2 linked regions of the Oryzias latipes genome follow. The protein of the gene in region 1 interacts with the protein of each later gene in a biochemical or structural test. Links are inferred from orthologs where the notes say so. Each region holds a gene or a part of one and is shown on either strand. Other genes may lie near its edges.

Evidence for each region.
Region 2: the proteins of hip1 (region 1) and cltb form a complex in vitro, tested with the Homo sapiens proteins (2 studies listed by BioGRID, with this or other methods). The link is inferred for Oryzias latipes from reciprocal best matches to the Homo sapiens genes HIP1 and CLTB.

Annotation. Positions count from the first base shown.
Region 1 is NC_019871.2:22,388,624-22,392,194, reverse strand, and holds part of hip1 (huntingtin-interacting protein 1), read left to right. Parts: intron 1-25; coding exon 26-209; intron 210-359; coding exon 360-448; intron 449-546; coding exon 547-663; intron 664-739; coding exon 740-841; intron 842-1,057; coding exon 1,058-1,252; intron 1,253-1,334; coding exon 1,335-1,482; intron 1,483-1,559; coding exon 1,560-1,646; intron 1,647-1,725; coding exon 1,726-1,833; intron 1,834-3,571. UniProt on the Homo sapiens protein: Plays a role in clathrin-mediated endocytosis and trafficking. Involved in regulating AMPA receptor trafficking in the central nervous system in an NMDA-dependent manner. Regulates presynaptic nerve terminal activity.
Region 2 is NC_019868.2:19,549,711-19,553,937, reverse strand, and holds the start of cltb (clathrin light chain B), read right to left. Parts: upstream 2,804-4,227; 5' UTR 2,602-2,803; intron 2,523-2,601; coding exon 2,360-2,522; intron 1,520-2,359; coding exon 1,473-1,519; intron 1,284-1,472; coding exon 1,166-1,283; intron 1,052-1,165; coding exon 940-1,051; intron 630-939; coding exon of another isoform or gene 609-629; intron 244-608; coding exon 190-243; intron 1-189. UniProt on the Homo sapiens protein: Clathrin is the major protein of the polyhedral coat of coated pits and vesicles.

The sequences.
Region 1 (3,571 bases):
CCTTTTTTGTGGGCCCTTCCACCAGAGCGGACGCCTTTGCCAAGCGCTAAGGGGGCGTGTCAGTGAGCTGGAGGCGGAGCTCGCCGAGCAGAGCCACCTGAGGATGCAAGCGGTTGGAGAGAGCGAGTTCCTGAAAGCAGAGCTGGACGACGTGCGTAGGGTCCGGGAGTACACGGAGAAGGAGCAGAGAAGTCTGACCGAGATTGAGAGTAAGGCTAGTGCTCATATGTTCGTTTTTATTCATTTTATTGACAAAGAGGGTAAAAGTCTTTGGTAAAAACGTAATAATTCAGATCAAACGGACTCAAAGAAAAGCTCCTAAAATGAGTTACAATCTCGTTTTTGTCTGTGTTTACCAGAAAAGGCTCAGGCCAACGAGCAGCGCTACACCAAACTGAAGGAGAAGTACACAGAGCTGGTTCAGAGTCACGCAGACCTGCTGAGGAAGGTCCGAGGAGCTCATCCCACCATTTCACCTTCAGGAGAGCCTTCTGCTCCTCAACATGAGGTCACATCCCCATCACAAGCTTTCTGTGTCCACTCTAGAACGCAGAGGTGACCCGACAGATGACTGTCGCTCGGGCCGCGCAGGATGAAGTGGAGGTGTTGAAGAAGGAGATGCAGGAGAAGGTGAAGGCTGTGCAGGATGTGGCAGACAGGCAGGTGAGGATGGGATGACTCTTTCGCCATGCTGTTGTCTGCCGTGGGGTCTGTGAACGCCATGCTGTCTCGCTCTTAGGAAAGGGAACAGCAACGACAGCTTGAAGACATCCAGAAAGAGCTGGTGTGCACCCGGGAAGAGCTGGATACCTTGAAATCCTCCGTGACCTCATCTCAGCAGGTCTCCTCAGAAATAAATACACTTAATGTAAAGGGAAAAACTAGCTTTGCTGTGTTCTTTGTGTCTTCAGTTCTTAAAAACCTCCCATTATTTTCATGAGGCTCCTTGAGGTGGCCGTATGAGCCTCGAGAGGAACTGCAAGACACCCCTAGTTCTTCTTCTTCCCAGATTAATCTTAGGTTCACCTGTTTTAACAGTGTTCTGTTCCCTGTGCAGTCCAGAGAGGCGCTTAGCTCCCAGATGGCAGCTCTGGAGTCGGAGAAAGCCGAGCTGGTGCAGTCAATGTCGAAGGTGGAGGCAGAGCTGGAGGCCCAGAGACAGGAGCTGCAGCGAGCCCAGAGCTCACTGGCGACTGAGAGAGAGAGTGGGGTGAAAGCCGCAGAGGCCCTCCAGAATCAGCTCAACGAGAAGGTTCGACAGTCTCCAGACCAGAGGAAGGCGCCGTTTAGCAAGGGCCTACGTTGGGCCTGATGGAGAATGTTCATGTCTACAGGAAAGCAGGGAGCAAGCGCTGGAGAGCCAGCTGGTGGCGGCTCGCTGGTCAAGCCTGCGAGGCGCAGTGGAGGAGGCAGAGAAGATCGTTCAGGACTCCCTGTCTCAGATAGACGACCCGGCTCACATCAGCTGCACCAGCTCTGCAGGTGGGAGGCAGAGACTGATCCATTCAAAACTGGAGCAATCTTCGGTGCACACTTTCATATGCTCATCCGTTCTGCAGACTACCTGGCATCCAGGTGTCAAGCCTCTTTGGATTCACTGGACCATTTGAATTCTTCCATAAAGACCTTCATGGATGACAACTCAGGTGAGAAACTAAACATCAAATGCCCAGGACAACCGCAAAAACAAGAGCTATGGCTCATTTCTGCTCTTTTCTCCGCCAGCCGTGTTGGAACTAGTGCGAGCAGTTACACGGAGTGGCCACCTGGTGGGCGAAACCATTGTCCAGGGCAGTGCCACCTCTCACATGGTGCCTGTGGAGAAATCTGATGGTGAGCGTTGCCGTCCTCTGTGGGCCATGCAAGTCTTTCTGTTGAAATCCCACGATGCATTTCTGTCAGTCAGCCAGTAACTTGGAATTTTCTGTTCCCACTCGTTGCTATTTCAGTTGAAAGTCTCTGCACCATTTCCACACAGTTTCCAGAACTCTATTTGAAAAAAACTGCCGCTTTCCCCCCGCTGACTGAACAGAAAAAGAAAAAAAAATCTCCTTGGAGAACGACAGGTCTTCCAGCTAAACAGGTCCACTGCTTTCTCCGCTGTTTTTTCTGGCTGCTGGGGGTTTGATGGGAGAGCCGCCAGGCTTCCACGTGCATCTGGCCTGCAGTAGAACTAGATTTCATGTCAACACTTTGAAGCATTTGCATGTAAACGTCTCTAAATGCCTCTATAAACAAGTCTACATAACCAGCCCAGTCTTTGCCCTTACATGGATAATCGCCCCGCTCCTCCATGGGAACCACAAAATGCTTCCATTCTTTCCCTCATTGCTGAATCTGAGCCAAAACAGGAGAAGCAGAGTCGTTGTTTTGTCCCCTCCCTCTGGATAAATTGAGACGAGTCGCAACATGTCCACATATGTGGCAGACAGACAAAAAAACAATTATGTCAGGCTGCATGGTTTGGGTGGAACTGCTCTTGGTTTGTGAGGCTCGGAGACCTCTGGACAGAGCTTTGATTTGACCCGAGAAACATCTGAAGGCGGAGCGTCCGCCTCCAGGTGGTGCCCAGTCGCTTCTGTGGCAGTCGTTTTTGGATTAGTCACCGCTGCCCTTACGGGGGGATACAGGCTATCTGCGGGCCAAAAAAGGGCAAATCTGTACGGGGCACTTGCAAACTTTGAAGATTGCCTGGTAGCCCGCAGAGTGAAATTGTTCGTGTACTTTTTTTTAACGGGCATGCTGTGGGCCACAGGTTGCAGCAAACAAAATCTAAGGATGACATTTTTGAGATGCAGGGGTGTCATATGGATTTGCTTCCTGCGCAAGGAACCCAAATAAGGAAATTGGAAAATCAGAGTGTAGTTTGTGTAGACAACTTACAGATGTCATACGGGCACTTACATGTCTTTCTCATAATATCATTAAGGGGCCAGTGCACGCACCGTACTAATGACTAGAGTTTGCCGTAAGGACACCATACAACAGCATCACCCATTTGTCATAAGTGAGCATAACTTCCATTATCCTACTGAATACAGTCAGGACCTTAAATATTTGGAGAGAGACACATCCTTATAATTTAGTTTCTGTACATAACCACTGAATTTTAAATAAAACAATTCAGATGCCATTGAAGTGCAGACTTTCAGCTTTTATTTCATGGGTTGAACAAAAATATTGCATAAACACATGAAAAACTAAAGCATTTTTTAAACACAATCCCTTCATTTCACGCCCATGAAATGAAGGGATTGGGTTTAAAAAGTTCACTGTGGTAATGTACAGAAACTAGATTAGAAAGATTATATCTCTGTCTAAATATTTAAGGTCCTGACTGTACATCACAATACACTTACCACACGCATGACGATGGTACGTTCCATTTTTATGACGTCCCTTAAGGTGGCTGCACGGGCCGCAAAGGCGTGACACGCCTACGCGTCCCTTGGTCTGGGTCGCACTGGTGGCAAGGCCATCAGAAGGATATCGCCCCAGTAGCTGCAAAAGGTGACACAAGCTGATGACAATATCTGCAGTTGGAATTTTACGCCCGTAGTACAATCGTGAG
Region 2 (4,227 bases), on another chromosome or scaffold:
CATTAGATAGAAAAAAAAAAAAGCCATCATCCTTATTCCGTACAAAAACACTCGCTAGTTTCAACAATAGTCAAATAAAAAATGCAAGAAACACTACCTAAGTCTAAGAAATATAAGGTGAGGGCATGCATAAGGTAACTTGAGAGGCTAGAGCAGACAATATTAAAAGCAGAAGGGTTCTAAACCTACACAAGGCCTATAACATCAGAGTTGGGCTGTTTGTAGAAAGCCTTGTCAGCAATCCTAGCACACGGGCAGGCAAGAAGGCAGGAAGAGAGGGAGGGGAGAGCAGTTAGAGTGAGAGAAAAGTTAGGGGGGTGATTTTGAAGAACTGACACGAGCTCTGATGAGGAGGTTTTTCATATAGCTCAATATTAAAACATGTAATTAGAATTCAAATTTTCACAATCGCAAATGTCTGTTTCAAAGAGCCGTAGTATAACAAGGAACATGTCCTTTCTGCTGTTTGCATTCTTTCAACTCCAGCAGCTTCCTGTGTTTGTTTCTTGGTATTAATATCTCATCAGAAAACTGTCGGTCAGTGCTTTGAGGGGAAAAACAAAAAACAAACAAAGCACAATAATTGAGCTACAGATGCAGAATGATACCGTGCCAGAGATGGACAGAGTCTGTTGGAAATTGTGAGAGAAGAAAAGGTTAACTTGGGACAAGATGAGGAACACTTGATGCAGTTTTTGTGGGTGTATATAGATCAAAATAAAAATCCAGTTCTGTACATTAAACAAAAAAGTAATTCATGTTTAACTGATTCTAAGAGTCTATGACCACAGATTCATTCTAAGGATCATTTCATCTGAGAACAACAGCGTTTTTCTGAACATCTTTTGGTTATAAAATGGAAAGCTTTAGTGTTAAGTAAAGTTTCATTAACAGGCGTAACCTGTTTGCACGTCAGCAGAGGAAGGGACCGACCCTCACCTGTTGTTGGCTTTATTCTTCTCCATCTGCTCATTCTGGTGTAAATGCCAGTCTTCCAGCTCCTTCTTGGCCTTCTCCCTCCACTCTACCTCTGCTGCCTTAGAGGCTGAGTCTAGTTTGGTGAGAAAAAAATTATAATAATAATTTAAAAAAAAGCTATATGATAGAAGAGTAAAACTGTGTTGAAACTGTAATTTTCGTACAAGTTCTAACAACTCATACTGACCTAATGCTTCAAGGCGGGCCTTCTGTTCCTCCCTCCACTTGCGTAAACTTTCCGGTTCTTGTCTCTGAATATCCACCTGGGCGATGGCTGCATAGCTGTCAGTTGGGCCATTGGACTCCTTTAAGAACAAAGCGAAGCATTTGCTTAATCGCACACAGCACATCAAGGATCATTCATGATGAAACCAAATCTTAAATTCTAAGAATTCATGACTTTATGTGCGGGAATCTTGTCATCCAAAAATACGACAGCTGTTTGACGATACAAAGAGACGGGCCTTTTATAAGACAGAAAGACTTCAGCTCACCTGAAATATTTCTCCATTTACTGCAGCGATTTCCTCTTCAAAGCCTTCTAACATGATGGGAAAAGAAATGAATCAAGATTTGAATGAAAGCCGTCTCCTTGGAAGTCGCTCCTTTCTTCAGCCCGCTCTAGACTGAACTGAGTGTTAGCTTCAGTATCAACTTCTTGAAACGGTTGAGACATCAGGAATGAAGCAGTACCTGTCTGGGCACTGATTTCATCTTTGCTCCACAGACTTATAAAAAGAAAAATGTTCAAGTTTAAACAAAAGCCAGGGAAGCATCTGATGAGGTAGTAGTTATACACATTGATTCTACACTTATTTAGTCTCTTTTTTAAACAAATATATTTTTCTATTCAAGTTACAAATGATGGACGGGTTTATGACATTAATAAGCCTAAATGTTTTATGGAAAATTGGACAAAAACTTTGAGAGGTTACAGAAATTGACATTACACGTCAAGAGTATAGTAGCAGTGCTAAGAAGATGTCATTTAAATTAGCTTAAACAACATGTTCGACACATTTGTTGAAAGTTATCACAGTTTTTAATTACATTTGACATATGTTGACATAAACAGGTGGATGTTAAACTGAATTATGGCTAACTAACTGTCTCCGGTTTGAAAAACAAACCATTTTGCATCTGCTAGCAAAGCTACAAAGCTAACGTTAGTAGTTGTGTTCATTTTTGGAGAAAAAGCAATTCAACTATTACAAACTTTAAACTTGTTCATTGTTTCATAAAATTGTGATTGCGCTTCATATGAATGGGGTGATTTGTTGGCCAGTTTATCAAAATCGCTGCAATTATTTGCTCAACAAACCAGATAAATAGTACGTTTGAATGCTAGCTAATGTTAGCATTAGCTCAGACATCAACTTACCATAGTTTACGGTCTGCGGGTGAGACGCCTGGACACTGTCCGCGTCTTCCAGCGCCCCAAACCCGTCATTATCATTTTCAATCCCCGCTATCTCACTCTCTTGTTGGGCCAGAAAAGCTGCAGCCGGGTCCTCTTCAGTCGGGTGTGCTCCGTTGTCAGCCATCTTTTACAAAAAAAGTGCAAGTTAGTTTAACAAAGCAAGCCCGGTAGCTTCAGCAAGCTTTAAAAAAAAAAAACTATACCGGAGTTCTACAGGATTGAAAATCTGGATTGAAGTAGTGACTGAGCCACCAACTAATCTTGGCAAGACACTGCTTAAACCACAATAAGCAAATAAACCGTATGTAACAAACAATAACAAAAGGCTTCAAGCTAAGGCCTACGGTGGTGATTCATGATTTCTCCAATACTGTCATGATAGAACAACGGCAGCAACCCGGAGCTCCCACGTTTGTTGGAGTTTGTCTCCATCTGCTGGCGATACATGGAATTGACCAAAAAGGCAGTTTGAATGGTTTTGCAGTTTTGGTTAAATTTGTTTACTTAAGTAATGTCAATTATGTTTAGATTTTCAACATGTCAGATAACTGAGCAAAACGATGGTTCAATTCAATTTTATTTGTATAGCCCACATTTTTGCCTGTAATGTTTGTAAATAGTTTTTTAAATTTACACCACCTTATTTGTTTATATTTATTTTGTTTTTATATAATTCTATTTTCTTTTATGATCACACAAATTGCACAAATTTCCCACGTGTGGGATCAATAAAGTATTTCTGATTCTGAAAACAGTCGTCTCAATGGGCTTCGTGGGCTAAAATCAAAAGGATCATGAGTACATAGAATTCAATGGGAAAATTCTAAACTGAACTAACTAAACAGACTAAACTAAACTGGGCATCCCTGCCCTTAGACCCTCTTTCGCAGGTTTTCGGTTAAAGGTTTAATCTAGTGTCAGAGCTGGTTAGTTTTAGAATACGCTTGAGGCACATATTATTGACTTCTGCTGCAAATCAGAGTCTAGTTGGTGTTAGGAGGCAAAGTTGTTAAAAGTTTGCCTTTTTCATGAGTAGGTTTCTTTTTTAAAACTGGATTCTACACAAATGTTGCCCTGTTTAATCAGAAGTAACAGGAGAAAAAAAAGATGAAGGCAAATGATAGTTAAAAAAAACATGTTTGGCTTTATTGCATTTTCTAATTCGATTCAATCTGCTGCAGCAGGAGAATCTTATTTGGCACAGGGTGTATTTTATTTTGAAAGAAACTAGCATGTGGTGTCTATGATGTGCTGCTGTTAAAAGTAAACCAAGTTACTTTTTTTTAAGTAACTTTTTTACTTTTTTTTTACCCATCAAAATGCAGGGAAGAATTTCCCCATTGTGGGATAAATAAAGTATCAATTATTATTATTATTATTATTATTATTATTATTATTATTATTATTATCAAAGGCTGCCTGTCAGGTGTATTTAAAATAGACACAGAGACATCCACAGGATTGTTTCGAGCTTATTTTTTCTATTGTAATTTTAACTTCTTCCAAAAAGATTTGTATTTAGTGACACTCCCACATGCAATGCTTCAATGTGCCTTTAAATCCACATTTTGCACAAACATCTGGTATGTTATTATTATATTTATTTAGTTGCACTTGTGTAGTATACAAACGCATTAACCATTTAACCCTTGTGCTATCCCAGGCACTTTGACATTGGGAGTTGGGTCATCTAGACCCACTAGACAGTGCTCTGAACCTTTTTTCTTCAATGATTTGTGATCTTCACTGGCGTCCATGGATTACATGAAAGCTTTCCACCTTTATCCACCTTTGTCATGGTAGGGAGAACACATCAATGTAAGGATGGG